2 linked regions of the Lonchura striata genome follow. The protein of the gene in region 2 purifies or fractionates together with the protein of the main gene of each other region. This does not show direct contact. Links are inferred from orthologs where the notes say so. Each region holds a gene or a part of one and is shown on either strand. Other genes may lie near its edges.

Region 1 (6,927 bases), on a different chromosome or scaffold from region 2:
CACACTGCCTTCAGACAGTGAGTGCTGATCGTTGGCAGATCTGTAATGGGTGTTCTCATATCCTGTGTTCACTGGATGTTATCCCATCCAAGCAGGCATTTTAACACAAGCACACTGATATCAGCTATTTCCCTACCATGTCTAAGCTTAACTAAGAACGTAAGTTAAAACTACATCTTTTTAGCAAAGTTACTTTAACACTACATATATAAATCCATTTTAATATTTGCGAAAAACCGATGTTATGACATGTATCTGTTACAGTGGGAATTTGTATGCCCCCCTCCTGTGGGTTCCACCACACACCCAGCCTTTCCCTGGGAAGGAACCACACAGACACACACTGAGGACCTGCAGCTTTATTGATCCTGAGAGCCTTCCTGGCCGCAGAGCTTCCAGCCCAAGCACAGCCCCCTGCCCTGCTCAGGGGCTCTTGGCCTTCCTTCGCTGGGTGCCCCACAGCAGCAGGGACAGGGACACGGTGACAGTGCCCAGGATTCCTCCAAAGAGAAGCATCGGGAATGGGCCCTGCCCGGGACCAGGAGTGAGCATCACCGCTCCCTGCAGTCCCTGCTACTCCGGCCAGGGCCCAGCCAGAGACAGGCTCAGTCCTGCCGGCACTCACCTCACGCAGGCACTTGTAGCCATGGAAGGGACTCTCACAGAGGCACTGGACGAGGCCGGGGCCGTCAGGGGCACACACTGAGTTTTCAGGACATAGCCAGGCTGGCAGAGCAGAGAAGGGGGTCAGGGGCCAGGCCAGCCCCTGCCAGCCCCATGCACCCCTGCCAGGGCCACAGTCCCCCACCATACCGAGTTCCACAGAGCTGTTGCAGGGGTTCCTCTGTCCCTGGCACAGCCGGCTGCTCCTGTCCACCGTCACGTTCTGCCAGGCATCACTCCCGCCTGGGCACTGCAGCGTCAGCGGCACCGCGCTGGGGGCAGAGCTCAGCACCAGCACCGCAGTGACCCCAGCCCCTGACTCCCCCCAGCACTCACAGGCTCTGCAGGCGGATGAAGCCCAGGAAGGAACCACTGGGGAGAGCTGTCAGCGGGTTCTCAGTCAGGTCCCTGCGAGCACACGGAACTTTAGTCCCATCCGGCACCCCTGGCCTGGCGAGCACCGGGGTACCCCCAGCGCCTCACTGAGCTCAGGCGGTTTGCAAGCACCCACAACCCCCCCTGCCCACCCGAGGCCCTGGCAGTGCAGCCCTACAGCTGGGGCTCAAAGGTCTCTGCGGAGCTGCTGAGGGACCGCTTGGTCATTAACAAAAACACTGATGAGCTGAGGTGTCACGGTGAGGGACCGCTTGGTCATTAACAGAAACACTGATGAGCTGAGGTGTCACGGTGAGGGACCGCTTGGTCATTAACAGAAACGCTGATGAGCTGAGGTGCCACGGTGAGGGACCGCTTGGTCATTAACAGAAACGCTGATGAGCTGAGGTGTCACAGTGAGGGACCGCTTGGTCATTAACAAAAACACTGACAAGCTGAGGTGTCACGGTGCCCTGAGGGCCACCATGGCTCACTGGGCTACATTTGGACACTGAGCTCTGAGCCCTGCCAGTGCCCTGGACGTGGCACCTCCCTGGCTCCTGTCTCTCCAGCCTGGGGATGAGGACTGTGCCAAAAGCCAAGATGTGACCATGTGGCTCATCTCTCACGTGCCAGCACGGGCCCCCACTGGAGGGCTGTCCTGTGACAATGTGCACCATGACAGAGCTCCAGAAGGATTTGTCCCATGTTCCTGCTGGGTACAGGGGTGAGGCTGCTGGCACAGACAGGTCCCAGGGCTCCCTGTTTGAAAACAGGGGTGGTTTCTGTTTGGTCAGGCCCTGTGGACTGACAGCCACGAGGGCAGGGAGTGGCCGCTGCCCCTGGGACCAGCAGGGTATGGCTGTGCTGGCCTGGGCCCATGGGAATGTCCCACCAAACCTGCCCCAACCCACTCTCCCAGCCCACCCCAGCTCCTTGCAGGGGCCAGAGGGAGCCCAGGGGAACTCACAGGACCATGGCAGTGGTGGCCTCGGCCAGTCCCGGGGGAACACTGTGCAGGGAGCAGTTGCTCAGGTCCAGCCTGGGAAGGAGCAGTGGTTGGGGACACAGTAGCATGTGTGTCCCCCACACTTTCCCCTGATGCTCTTGTGACCCCCAGCACCCATCTCAGCCCTGGTCTGTACCTGGTTCCCCCCCAACACCACCCAGGATGCTCCATCCAGGCATTCCCCAGCCCCGCCATTCCTCTGACACCCCTGTGAACCCAAAAACCCATCCTGGCACCCTCCATCCCCCGAGCACCCCTATCACATGGCCCCCGACCCCCAGCACCCCAGATTCACCCCCAGCCTGTGCATCCCCGTTCTCCCCCGGGCCCCCCGTACCCCAGAAGCTGCCCTGGGGTCGGGCCCCTCTCCCGGCAGCAGCGCCCGTCGCTCTCGGTGTCGTGCCGGGACTGACAGAACCGGGCCACGATGGAGCCGTTCCGCGGCGGCCCCGGGCAGAGCCCGCACACCTGGGGAGGTCGGAGGGCCATGGGCAGCGCCGGCACAGGGGCACCCCCATCTCCCGCCCCCCGCGACCCCCGGCTGTCCCCGACCCCCGGGCTGACCTGAGCCCCGGGTACCGCCGCTCCCCGTTAAAGGACAACCTCCTCGGCCTCGGGGAAACCCACGGCTTCCCTGACGCCCGGGCACCTCCAAGCCGGGCACCCCCGACCTCACGACATCCCCGACCGGGGACTCACCGCCCCCTGACCCCCCAACCCCGTTCCGGGCACTCCCTGACCTCCGTGGCATCCCGTACCCACCGGAGCCCCCCAGTTTCCTGCCCTCCCTTCGTTTCCGTGACCCCGACCCCGGTCCCCGTTGCTCACCGCGGCCCCGCGGGCGGCCCGGGGCAGCAGCAGCGGCAGCAGCAGCGCGAACGCGCCCACGGCCCCGCCGGCCCCGAGCATCCCCGCGCCACGGCGGGGAGCCCCGAGCGGCGGCGGCAGCTCCGTGCCCGTTCTCCCCACCCCGGCCCGGCCCGGGCGCCCTCTGGACCCAAACCGCGGAGGGGCCCCCGCAGCGGGGGCACCGGGGCGCGGTGACCGCCCGAGGGCCGGGATGGGGCGGGGATCGGGCCGGGGATCGGGCCGGGAGCCCCACGCGGGGCCCGCGCTGACGCCGTCGGCGGCGGCCGTGCGGAAGCGGCGGCGGGAGCGGCCCCGCCTGCCCGCGGCGTCATCCCGGCGCGCCCCGGCTGCGGCGGCACATGGGGCCAGTGCTGCCGCCGCCGGTGAGTGTTGCACCGGGGCCGCCGGGGCAAGGTCACCGCCGCCGCCCGCCACCGGCACCGGGCGCTCTGCGGGCAGCGGGGGCCGGGGGGCCGGCTCCCGGGATGGGGGCTCTGGCGACAGTGGGGACGGGGAGCAGAACCCCGGGATGCGGACGTCGGGGACGGGGAGCAGAGCCCTGTGTTAGGGACACCGCGGACGCCGGGGATGGCGAGTAGAGCCGCTGAGAGCCCCGGGATGAGGGCTCCGGGCACAGCGCTGGGCAGCGGCGGCCGGAGCGGCGTCCCCGCGGTCACCGGGTGACAAGGAAGGGCGAGATGGAGCGTGAGGAGCGGGGCACCGCGGGAGGCTGGCTGGGCGCGGCAGGACGGGCAGCGGGCTCACCCGCGGGGACGCGGGACACCCAGGGCTGCGAGAGCCGAGCCTCGGGCTGGCACCGCCGCGTCCTGTGGGGCACATTCCGGGACCGTCTGGGCGAGGGGGCAGCAGGCCCTCCGTGGGTGACCGGGCCAGCAGGGCTTGTGACCGGCAGGTGATGGGGGTGCGGGGACAGCAGCGCTGGAGGCAGCAGAGCCTCGGGGGCGCCGAGGGGTCTGTGGGGCATGGGAGCCTTGGGCCAGGGCCGTCTGGGAGGCTGGGGCTGTGGTGTGCCCGCTGGGGACGCGGTGTGACCTCCCATGTTTAGTCTGCGTGGGGGAATGTGGGGAGTGACCTTGGACCCTGGCCATGAGCTGCTGCACGTGGAGCCTGTCCTGGTCAGGGACAGGCCAGGGCTGGTAGCGGCCGAGACACTGCCCTCTCACCCCATTCCCCACCCAGACGCTGCTGGCGCTGCCGCTGCTGCAGAACCGCGTGCCAGCTCAGCTGCCCCCGGCCCTGTGGCAGGCAGGCCCAGGCAGGCTGTGCCAGGGGTGCCAGGAGGGGCTCAGCCTAATTCCACCAAGCATTCCCAGGCAAGCATTCCTCCAGGGATCATGATGGGATCATGGTGGGCACTGTGCCACTCCCTGGCTGCCACCCCCACTCCAGACTTGTCCTCCCTGTGTCCCTAACGCTGCCCTGCTGGAACAGAGGGTCCCCTGCAGCCTGCACCCCCTCCCAGGCCTGAAAGAGGGGTATCCACAGCCCTGTGGCACCTGCTGCTCCCAGGTGCCCGCAGTCACAGTCCTCTGGGTGTGCGGGCAGGCAGGGGCAGCAGTCTGTCCCCTCCTGTTCCACAGGAGCCAGAGCAGGGGCAGAGCACGGGGCGCTCTGGGCAATCCCCTCAGTGGGGTGAGGGTGCCAGAGACGGTGGATGCTCAGGTGTCTGCTCCACCTGGCTGGTGCCCAGAACCCTGAGGCTGCCAGCTCCCCTTTGTCCCTTCCTGTGCACCGGGGGCAGTTCTGGCAGGGCCGTGGGCTGCTGGAGGGGTTGGGCTGCGTTGCCTTTGGTGCTGGTGGGACCGGTGCTGCCGGGTTTGGTGGGGCTGTGCAATGCTGGGGTGGTTGGGCCAGGTTGGGTTTGGCTCAGGTGGGAGTAGCACTGCGGGCTGAAGGCTGTTCAGCTCCGGGGGTGGTTGTGTTGGGTTTGGCTCAGGTGGGACTGGGGTTGTCCTGCACCGGAGGCAGCTGTGTTGAGCTTGGCCAGTTCTGCCGGGACTGGTGGTGCCGGTGCTGCGGGGGGCCAGGGTGGGACTGTTTTTGCAGCCATTGTCTTGGCGCTCTTTGAAGACTCTCCAGTTTCCTTCAGCGGGGCAGGTGGGGTGGCCCAGGGGGGGCCAAGCCCGGCCCAGAGGGAGGAGGAGGAGGAGGAGGGACTGGCCGCTTTCCCCACTCTGGGTCCTTGAGGTTGAGACAGAGTGAGCGAAGTTCCCTGCAGCACTGACACGTCCCTCCCGCAGCTGCCAGGGCCTGGCCGGTGCCGGTCAGACGCGCTGCCGGGCTCAGGTGCGCCCATGAGGCCGGCGGGGCGGGGGCGGCTGGGCAGCGCTGGCAGCGGCAGGGCGGCGCAGGGACGCGCTCACCATGGAGTTCACGGCCATCGACTACAGCATCTTCGCGCTGCTGCTGGTGCTGTCCTCGGCCATCGGGCTGTTCTACGCCCTGAGCGGCGACCGGCAGCGCACGGTGCAGGAGTTCCTGCTAGCCAACCGTGACATGGGCTGCCTGCCCGTCGCCCTGTCCCTGCTGGCCTCCTTCCAGTCAGCTGTGGCCATCCTGGGCGTGCCAGCTGAGATCTTTCGCTTTGGCACCGAGTACTGGTTCCTCGGCTGCTCCTATTTCCTGGGGCTGCTCATCCCGGCGCACATCTTCATCCCTGTCTTCTACCGTCTGCACATCACCAGCACCTATGAGGTGAGCAGAGGGGACGTGGGGGGAACAGAGGGGACACGGGGAGAGCAGAGGGGACATGGGAGAGCAGGGGGGACACGGGGAGGGCAGAGGGGACACAGGGCAGGCAGAGGGGACACGGGCAGGGCAGGGGACTGCGGGGAGCACAGAGCACCCTGCAGTCGGGTGCTCTGACCTCTCTCCTCTCAGTACCTGGAGCTGCGCTTCAACAAGACAGTGCGGGTCTTCGGCACCATCACCTTCATCTTCCAAATGGTGAGTGGAGCCAGGGCTGTGGGGGCTGCGGAGTTTGGGGCGTTGGGCGTGGCTCAGCACTGCTCTCCCTCCCCCCAGGTCATCTACATGGGGGTGGTGCTCTACGCGCCCGCGCTGGCCCTCAACGCAGGTATGATGAGGGCAGGTGTGGGGCTGTGCCCGGGGGCTGCCGCCCCTCACCCCATTAACGTCCTCTACCACTTCCAGTGACAGGCTTTGACCTCTGGAGCGCGGTGCTGACCATGGGGCTGGTCTGCACACTCTACACCACGCTGGTGAGTCCCTGCTGCCACAGGTGCCCTGTGCCCCTGCCGTGCCAGGGTGAGCACTGTCATCCTGTGGTGACGGGCACCGTGTGTCCCCATCAGGGTGGCCTGAAGGCCGTCATCTGGACAGATGTGTTCCAGACGCTGGTGATGCTGGCGGGGCAGGTTGCCGTCATCGTGGTGGGCGCATGGCGGGTGGGGGGCATGGCCCGTGTCTGGCGCGTGGCTGAGCAGGAGGGCAAGATCGCCGGCATTGAGTGAGTCACCTCCTGGGACACCTCTGTCCTGCTCTGGGGACACCTGGGGCAGCCCGGGGTGGGGGAGAGGGACCCTGGAGCGGTGGTGTGGTCCATCCCTGTTATCCTCTTTCCCACGGGGCATGGGGTGCCAGTGAGGACCCGTCACCATGGCCCCCCCGGTCCTCCCCACAGCCTGGACCCCAGCCCCCTGGAACGTCACACCTTCTGGTCGCTGTCCGTGGGCGGGATCTTCATGATGCTGTCGCTGTACGGGGTGAACCAGGCGCAGGTGCAGCGCTACCTCTGCGCCCGCAGCGAGCGGGAGGCCAAGCTGTGAGTGGGGCTGGGACTGGGGGTCCCCGCAGCCGGGATGGGCCCCCAGCCACCGCCCGTGTCTGACGGCCCCACGGCGCCCGCAGCTCCTGCTACGCCGTGTTCCCCTGCCAGCAGATTGTGCTCTGCCTCAGCTGCCTCATTGGCCTCGTCATGTTCGTCTACAACCTGGAGCACCCACTGGCGCCCAGCCGGCGCCCTGCCTCCTCTGACCAGGTGGGTTTAG
Region 2 (7,715 bases):
CTGCTCCTGATTTGGCCACAAGGGCTGGATGGTGATTAAGTCATTCTTCTGCCCCCCTAAACAGAAGAAGATGGGAAGGGAGAAGAAAAGAAAACCAATTTGAATTAAAACACATGTATGAAGTACAGCTCTGTTCCCCAGACAGCTCGAATCCAGATGGAAGAACTCCATGCCATGCCTTTCCAACTTGTTTCACACCACCACGCATTCATCACTTGTACATTCCTCAGTAACTTCTATGGCTTAAGGTATCTTGTTATTCCTATTCTCCCAGTACCCCCGCGGCACTTTGTTTTTGGTTCTCTCCTAGCAGATGCCTCTTCAGTGCCCAGGACCAAAGGAGTATCCCCTGGATCTACCAATTTCCAGCAATCTCCCATTAAAGACCATTGTGCACCATTTACACACATGGTAACTAGAGCGTGACCACAAATAAGAGCTTTCTGCTGCTACCTGGCTGGACACAGACAGGTGATGAAGCCACAAGAGCAGAATTTGGCTATGGCTGGAGAAGGGTTTGAGATCTGACTGCCTCACTAAGATGTTGTTGAAGGAATATACCCAAGAGTGGACTTGCTTAGATGGAAAAAGGGAAGTAGCTGTGAGGACAGTGCTGAAATCCAACAGCTGGAATCCTTTCCTGTTTATTCTCAAGCCTGACATTACAGTTCCATCAGTCCCCAACTCATTAGTACAGCACACAAGTCACACTTTCCTGTCCCTACCTGTAGGGCATGGGTGACACCTGCCTCAACCTTGAGACAACCAGAAACTATCAATACTGAGGGAAGGCCATCGCAGACATACAGTTTCCTCATGCTGCTCCATGCCACACCATTCCAATGCCCCAGCTGAGCTAGCATGGCCGAGGGATGATGTTTGCTAACAGATTTTGGGAAACGGCCCCACTGGGCAGTGTGGGGATGAATCTCTCACCACACATTTCAGAGGACATGCCAACACTGCAAACATTCTGAATGCTGAGCAGAGGTAAAATAAAGCACTACCTCTGTTCCCCCAAAAGATCAGTACTGAAATAAGATAGAATATGATGCCTGTGTGTCCTTTTGTATCCACAGGTGCTGCTTGTAATTATTTGCACATCTGACAGAAGTCTTTTCAAGTTCAGTTTCATAACCTCACCTGAAGAAAGTAAGTCATTGTCCAGTCTCTCACCCAAATTTCTGCTGCTGGAAACTCTTTATTTCACACAGACTTTTTATTCCTCCTTTTAAAGCTTTCATCAAGACACCTTTCACTGCAAGCAGTCTCCCCTGTTCTCTCAGTGATGAGACATGCCTGACCAACAGCAATATCCAGCTACTGCTGGATATGCAAACAATTGTGGAAACTGACAACACATCTGACCTCCAAAAACAGTGTGGCATGGACATTCTCTGAGTAACACAGACCCAGCTATGACAGCTTTGAGACACTGGAGTCACATTTATCGTACGTCACACCTGAACACCTCCATTCTCATCCAGGGCAAATGCAGTGAGGCTGTACAAGACCTGACACCATCTGTCTCTACACAGCCCAGGAGCTCTTGAGCCACACTGCCACTGCTCCAGCTGGCACACAGCGCCTCTTTGTAAGGACATGTGTCTAGACTGCTTGGGTTCACACAGAGGAGAAAAAAGTGCCTACAACTGGAGCTGTGAAAAGGCAAGACTAGCCCTGAAAAGGCAACTTTGCAAGCAGTCTTGATACCACCTTCACCTGAGGTCCCAGACCATTTCTCAGCACCAGTGAAGGAAGACTCAGCACCCACACAAGAAGCACACAGTGCAGCAGTAACCATACAGCTCAGGGCTGTCCCCCATGCAAGCTGCACTGAGAAGGGAAGCCAAGGCACTCCAGTTTCCCAGCTCCATGATCCTCACAGGCCTGTGAGCCAGTCTGCTGGTCAAACAAGAGATTCCTTGGCTCTCCCTCCCCTCCCACCAGGCAGATAACAGAGCTGTCCTGAGGAAAGCAAAACACTGCCAGTTGTGCAATGCTGTGGGGAAAAGTTCCTTCCTTGGGTAATCAGTCCGCAGCCCAAAGCACAAGATTTACTACTTGCTTCATGTCAACATATGCAAATACAGATCTTATTTGTCCAAGATACCGAGTCCTTTTAAAGCTAAGACCTGGTTTGACCTTAAAGTCACCTGGTTTTTTTTTTGGGTTTTTTTTTGTTTTTTTAAAAGCATTTACTATTGAAATAATCTGTTCCCCAGAGCTTCTCAATCTCAGGTCTTCTTTCTAGAATACTTTCTGACACAGAAAAAAAGTTAGTCTTCTAATTATTGTGAGAACACCACAGTAACTTTGTGGTGGAGGAAGAGCAAAAGCTCGTCAGAAGGATGACCCACAGAATTGAAGACAGTGAAGCACAGGTCTTTATGAAAGGAAAAGGAGTGCTTTTAGTATGTTAGACTGCCTCATCTAATTATTGACCACCATTTACCTACAGCCAGCTGGTATTCTGAGTAAGCTTTTGATAGGCTTTCACCCTTATTTGTTAAGTTCTCCTTATCCTTTCACTTAAAGGCAAAATAAGACACCTTAAGTTCAAAACAAACACCCTTAATGCTACCCTACTGCCCTCCAAAGCCGGCAGCCTTAACATTCCAAAGTGCAAAACAAACGAAACTATTATTTCTTCAAAATAACAGCAATTTAAACAAATCAAAGAAAACCCCATCAAACCCCAACCCAAACCCCCAACAACCCCAAACCGACTGGGGCGCAGTCCACCCCCCAGAGACCCCTATGCCATTTTTCCGAACCGAGAGAACAGCGGCACAACGCAAACCCACCGAGGACCCTCGGCAGCCAGCACAAGCAGACCGTGCGCCACCGCGGGTGCGCCGCCGGATGCTTTCCGGGAAGAACGACGAGCGGCTGCCCCGAGCACCCGAACGCTCCGGGAACGCTCCGGGAACGCTCCGGGCTGCCGGGGAGGCCCGGGCCGCGCTCCCGCCGCGGGCACGGCCGCCCAGCCCGAGCAGGGGGCGAGGAGGAGGACGCGGCTCCCTCCGGGCGCTGGGCCACGTCCTCGGCGGGGCGGGGCGGGAGCGGAGCCGAGCGGGCAGCGCAGGGCAGGGCCGGGCAAAGCAAGGTCGGGCAGCGCAGGGCAGCGCAGGGCCGGGCAGGGCAGCGCAAGGTCGGGCAGCGCAGCGCAGGGCCCGGCCCGGCTCCGCTGCTCCGCGGCCGTGCCCAGCCCCGCGGCGCCCGGCGCGGCCGGAGGAAGCCGGCGGCAGCAGCGGCCCTTCCGGGCGGCAGCAGCGGCCCTTCCGGGCGGCCCCGCGGAACGGCGGGAGCTGTAGTCCGGCCGCCGCCGCCGGGGCCCTGCGCGGGGAGGGGAGGGGAGAGGGCGGACTACAGCTCCCGGCGGCCCTGCGGCAGGGCGGGGCAGCGCGGCGCCACCTGTCCCGGCAGGTGAGCGTCTGGGACGCGGCTCCTTCCCCGCGCCTGCGGCTCCTCCTCCTCATCCTCCTCCCCAGCCCGGCCGCAGGCCCGCCCGGCAGCCGCGATGCCCTTCACCAGCACGGGCGCGGACGATGCCTTCGACTACCTCTTCAAGATCATCCTGATCGGCGACTCCAACGTGGGGAAGACGTGCGTGGTGCACCGCTTCAAGACGGGGCAGTACAGCGAGAAGCAGCAGAACACCATCGGCGTCGACTTCACCGTGCGCTCCATGGACATCGACGGCAAGAGAGTGAAGGTCGGTGAGGGAGCGAGCCCGAGCGTCCTGGCGAGCAGCACCTTCCTGTGCAGGTGCCAGGACGCACAGCACCTCCTGCTCGGCCCTGCCGAGGGCAGCTGGCTGCCCTTCTAACCACGGGTGCTTCCCAGTGGAGCTTTCTCTCAGGAGGATATCCTGGGGGAAGCAGGCACCCTGATTTGGGTACATACTTCTTCTCGTGACTTCTCTGCATCACCTGCGGAGAGGGCTTGTGCTTTGCCTGCAGGGAGTTCTTTGGAAGCCGGCTATAGTTTGGAGGGGATGTCTCTTCCCTCCAGAGATGTGGCAGTTTGAGCTGGGACACCAAGAAGGGAAAACCCCCAAAGTTTGCAAAGGCTCCACTTTGATGTGGGCTTAATTTGAGGGAAGACTTCCAAGACAAACACCAGAAGAAATTATCAGCTAGAACTTCCCTCTGTGTGCAGATGAAAGTTAGGATTGCCTGGCTTTTATGTATAGATTTGCTCTGCCCAGTCCTGTATTAGGGTTCTTTACTCTTATTTTGCTATTAACAGGCTGTAACGTTCTGTATCTTTTACTACAGTTGTTGAAAATGGGTTTCTTGGCCTCTTTGCAAAGCTGGGTTCACCCTTAGAGCTTTCTCTTTGGTCTGTGTAGATTGACTCTTCAGGCTTGTAAATGGCTTTTTGGATCTAGGGAGGGCAAAGCCACACTGGTCTGGTAGAGTGAGCTGGGACAGGTCTGGCTGCCTTCTGGACAAGAGGCTTCAAATGCTGAGGGCAAGCACCTAGGAAAGTGGTGTTCGCTGGTCTTTACAACTTCCATCCTTTCTCTTACAGATCCAAGTGTGGGACACAGCCGGTCAAGAGCGCTTCCGGACAATAACCCAGTCTTATTACAGGAGTGCCCATGGGGCCATCCTTGCCTATGACCTTACTAGGAGGTCCACATTTGAATCCATTCCTCACTGGATTCATGAAATTGAAAAGTATGGTGCTGCAAACTTGGTCATGATGTTAATTGGTAGGATTTTAGTTTTAAATATTGTATTATGTAGATTTTTAATACGGACATAAAATCTCCCTCGTTTCCTACCACTACTACTTGAAGCATCTATATACTATGCAAAAATTCAGTTCTAATTAAAATAGATCACCAAGTGTGTCAATTCAACCTAAGCTTAAAAAAATGAGGAAAGTCATAGCCTGGTCCTGACAGGACCAAAACCCATTGCAGACAGCAAAACCCTTTTACATTATTCCTTTCCTGCTGGAATAACACAACAAGCTTTGCTGCCAGGCTGGAGGCAGGGACCACCTTGTTGAGTTAGAACTGCAGTAAGCCTGGCTCTGTAGGCTGCTGCAGAGGAATGTAGCAGCTCAATAATTCAAGGTGAAGGGGGATGCACAGACTCCTGTGGTTCTCATCTTTCCTCTCTGCTCTCTTGATATGCATGCGCACTGCTCTGTAATGGGATTCCGCGCAGGTAAGACAATAGATGGGGAGATGGCTTTTGCAGAGCCTGGAGTAGCCTGCTTGCATTCCAATAGCGCTCAGGAAACTGCCTCTTTGAGGAAAGCAGTGGCTGGGAATTGCCGGGAATGGAGCTGGTAGGAAGCCACGGTTCCTTTCTCTTGGGTTTCATGGTTATTATTGCTCTTCCTTCCCCCAAGGAAGAAGCTGCAAACGAGGGCACTGTTGCAGTGAAACGCCAGAGCCTTTCTTGCCTTTATTTCCATTGGCGTGGCTGAACCTGTTGCAGTGTGCTGCGAGCAGCTCAGCAGCCGGGGCAGGGCTGGGCCCCAGGCAGGGCCCCTGAGCTGCTGCCTCTGCTCCCAGCACCCTCCGTGCTTGTGCTGCCGAGAATTCTCCTGGCCTTCCTCTGGAAGAAGCAAACGATAAATCCTGACCTGCTCCTAATGCAGTGCTTGGAACTGGGGCAGGGGAGGTGTAAATCACTGCACTTTGTCTGGTTTTTTCTAACTTCTATCATGAATCTAAAGAAAGAGACTTATCTGTGTGTGGTGGGGGATGGTGGTGGTTGTTTTTTTAGAGAGAGAAGTTCTGAAATCAGTAAAAAGTGAAGGTTTTACTAAGGATCCAGCTAGATGTTTTCTTCCGGATCTGGTGCTGTTTGCTTTACTTACATTGGGAGAAGCCGTTGTACATTTAAATATGCTTAGTCATGTTATACACCTTTCTAGCAGGAGGTTAAGGTTAGGAAACCTAACTTTCCTATCTGGAACTGAAGGAGGAAAAGGTGGGTGTGTTCCTTTTAAGGAGGCAAATAGCCCTCAAACTGATAAATCCACATGTGCTGCAACTGCCTAAATATACAAAGGTGTTTTAACTGAGGTGTTTAATTATAGATTTTCACTAAAGTGCTGCAAGTAAAAGTTTAATCTATACATGCAGAAACAAGCATATATTTCAGGCATTAAGACAGCTGACCTGAATTTTTGTCTTTCTTGTTACATCACCCTAAAAGGTTTTTTTTTTTTTTTCAAAATTCAACTTACCTGAAGAAGGTCAGCAGGAACACAACAGTATGATGGTGGGTTTAGTGGGACACAAGCCCTCAACTTAAAGGCTACTTAACATTTAAAACCACAAGGGAACAGGACCAACACTTGCTTCCAAATAATCTTTCACCTACACTAAGTAAACAGATGAACACAGGTTGTTAGTTTTTTCTTGGATTTCATCTCTTTTGCTGTCATATGATTTGCTGCAGTTTTAAGGCAGTCTGTATCTGTGGCTCTGATGTACTCACAGCTTGTTCTATCCAGTAACTCTTACCGCTAACATAAAACTATTGTTTAACAAAATTGAATTCCTGCATTGCATTTAAAAATAAATTTTTGAAAGACTAAGTGGTTGAAGTATCTCTTTGCTTTCTTTTAAGGGAACAAATCGGATTCGCTGGACAAGCGCCAAGTGCTGTTTGAAGATGCCTGCACCCTGGCAGAGAAGCACGGGCTCTTAGCTGTGCTGGAAACATCAGCAAAAGAAGCTCAAAACATAGAAGAGGTGTTCACATTAATGGCTAAGGAGCTGATAGCCCGAAATACCTTACAGCTTCATGGGGAGAGCCCTCCAAACAGCTTCAGTCTTGACTCCAGGCCAGTGATTGCCAGTCCAAGTGTGGAGAAGACCCAGTGTTCCTGTTGAAGAGAGACTTTAAGGAGAACTTGGAAATTACCATTCTTCTGAGGCTGTTTGATTCAGTTTTGTTCAGTTGATGAAAGTGTTTTATGTGGCCTCAAGCCATCTCTCTTGATATTTCTGCCTTGCAGTTTGGCTTGTGAGTATTTTCAGTGATCATTGTTGCTGTTGGTAGCACAGGTTGCTTTGACAAGAGAGGACTCAGGAAGCTGCCAACCCTTGTCCTAACCAAAGAGAACTGCAAAAGTTATTGCCTTTAATTATTTCCTTACATGTCTTTCTGGCTGTGTCAGAAGATAAATTTGCACCAGAGTTCTGCACTGACCCTTCTAAGCTGTGTTGCTGGTTTTAAGCACTTTCTGCCAGCAGCTGTAAAAAGTCTGATATATGCTTGAACAGCACTAACCTGCTCCTGCCTAAACTTTCATTTAGGAGCTCTCCTGAGGTCAGGCAGGTAGCCACCCATCCCAAGGAGCTTAATAACATTTGTGAAAGAGTAGAGGATTTCACATCTACCCTGAGTTCCTCATCAGATAAACATGGAGACATCTTTGGGGTGGTGTAGCAGGCAGAATACACTTCTTCCTGGGGTGAGAAAAGCTGCCTTTCACTTGCTTTGTAATAGACAGGATTGCTTCCAGTACTGATCTCCATCCTGCTACATGGACTTGCTGGGAGCAGAAAAGCTTCCAGTGAAAGAACCTTATTTTCATTCCTCCCTGCTAAACTCATCTTGCTTTTGATGTGCTGATTTTAACCAAAAGCCGTTTGTAGCTTGTGTGATGGGCCAGTGGCAGCTTGAGAGTATCCCTGTAGGTTTTCAAGGGAGTTTTAAGGATGGATGCAAGCT

The links.
Region 1: the proteins of SLC37A3 (region 2) and ATRAID purify together in Homo sapiens (affinity purification with mass spectrometry; 3 studies listed by BioGRID and IntAct, counting the BioPlex papers as one, with this or other methods). This does not show direct contact. The link is inferred for Lonchura striata from reciprocal best matches to the Homo sapiens genes SLC37A3 and ATRAID.

Annotation. Positions count from the first base shown.
Region 1 is NC_134605.1:113,668,186-113,675,112, reverse strand, and holds ATRAID (all-trans retinoic acid-induced differentiation factor), read right to left. Parts: upstream 3,002-6,927; 5' UTR 2,957-3,001; coding exon 2,876-2,956; intron 2,516-2,875; coding exon 2,385-2,515; intron 2,081-2,384; coding exon 2,009-2,080; intron 1,072-2,008; coding exon 1,000-1,071; intron 936-999; coding exon 814-935; intron 727-813; coding exon 626-726; intron 529-625; coding exon 424-528; 3' UTR 345-423; downstream 1-344. Other genes in the region: SLC5A6 (sodium-dependent multivitamin transporter), read left to right, coding at 5,282-5,611, 5,798-5,863, 5,942-5,993, 6,071-6,138, 6,232-6,386, 6,561-6,701, 6,788-6,917. UniProt on the Homo sapiens protein: Promotes osteoblast cell differentiation and terminal mineralization. Plays a role in inducing the cell cycle arrest via inhibiting CCND1 expression in all-trans-retinoic acid (ATRA) signal pathway.
Region 2 is NC_134607.1:15,379,859-15,387,573, forward strand, and holds the start of SLC37A3 (sugar phosphate exchanger 3), read right to left. Parts: upstream 3,001-7,715; 5' UTR 2,808-3,000; intron 57-2,807; 5' UTR 1-56. Other genes in the region: RAB19 (ras-related protein Rab-19), read left to right, coding at 3,524-3,718, 4,540-4,723, 6,606-6,871. UniProt on the Homo sapiens protein: Unlike the other SLC37 members, lacks glucose-6-phosphate antiporter activity.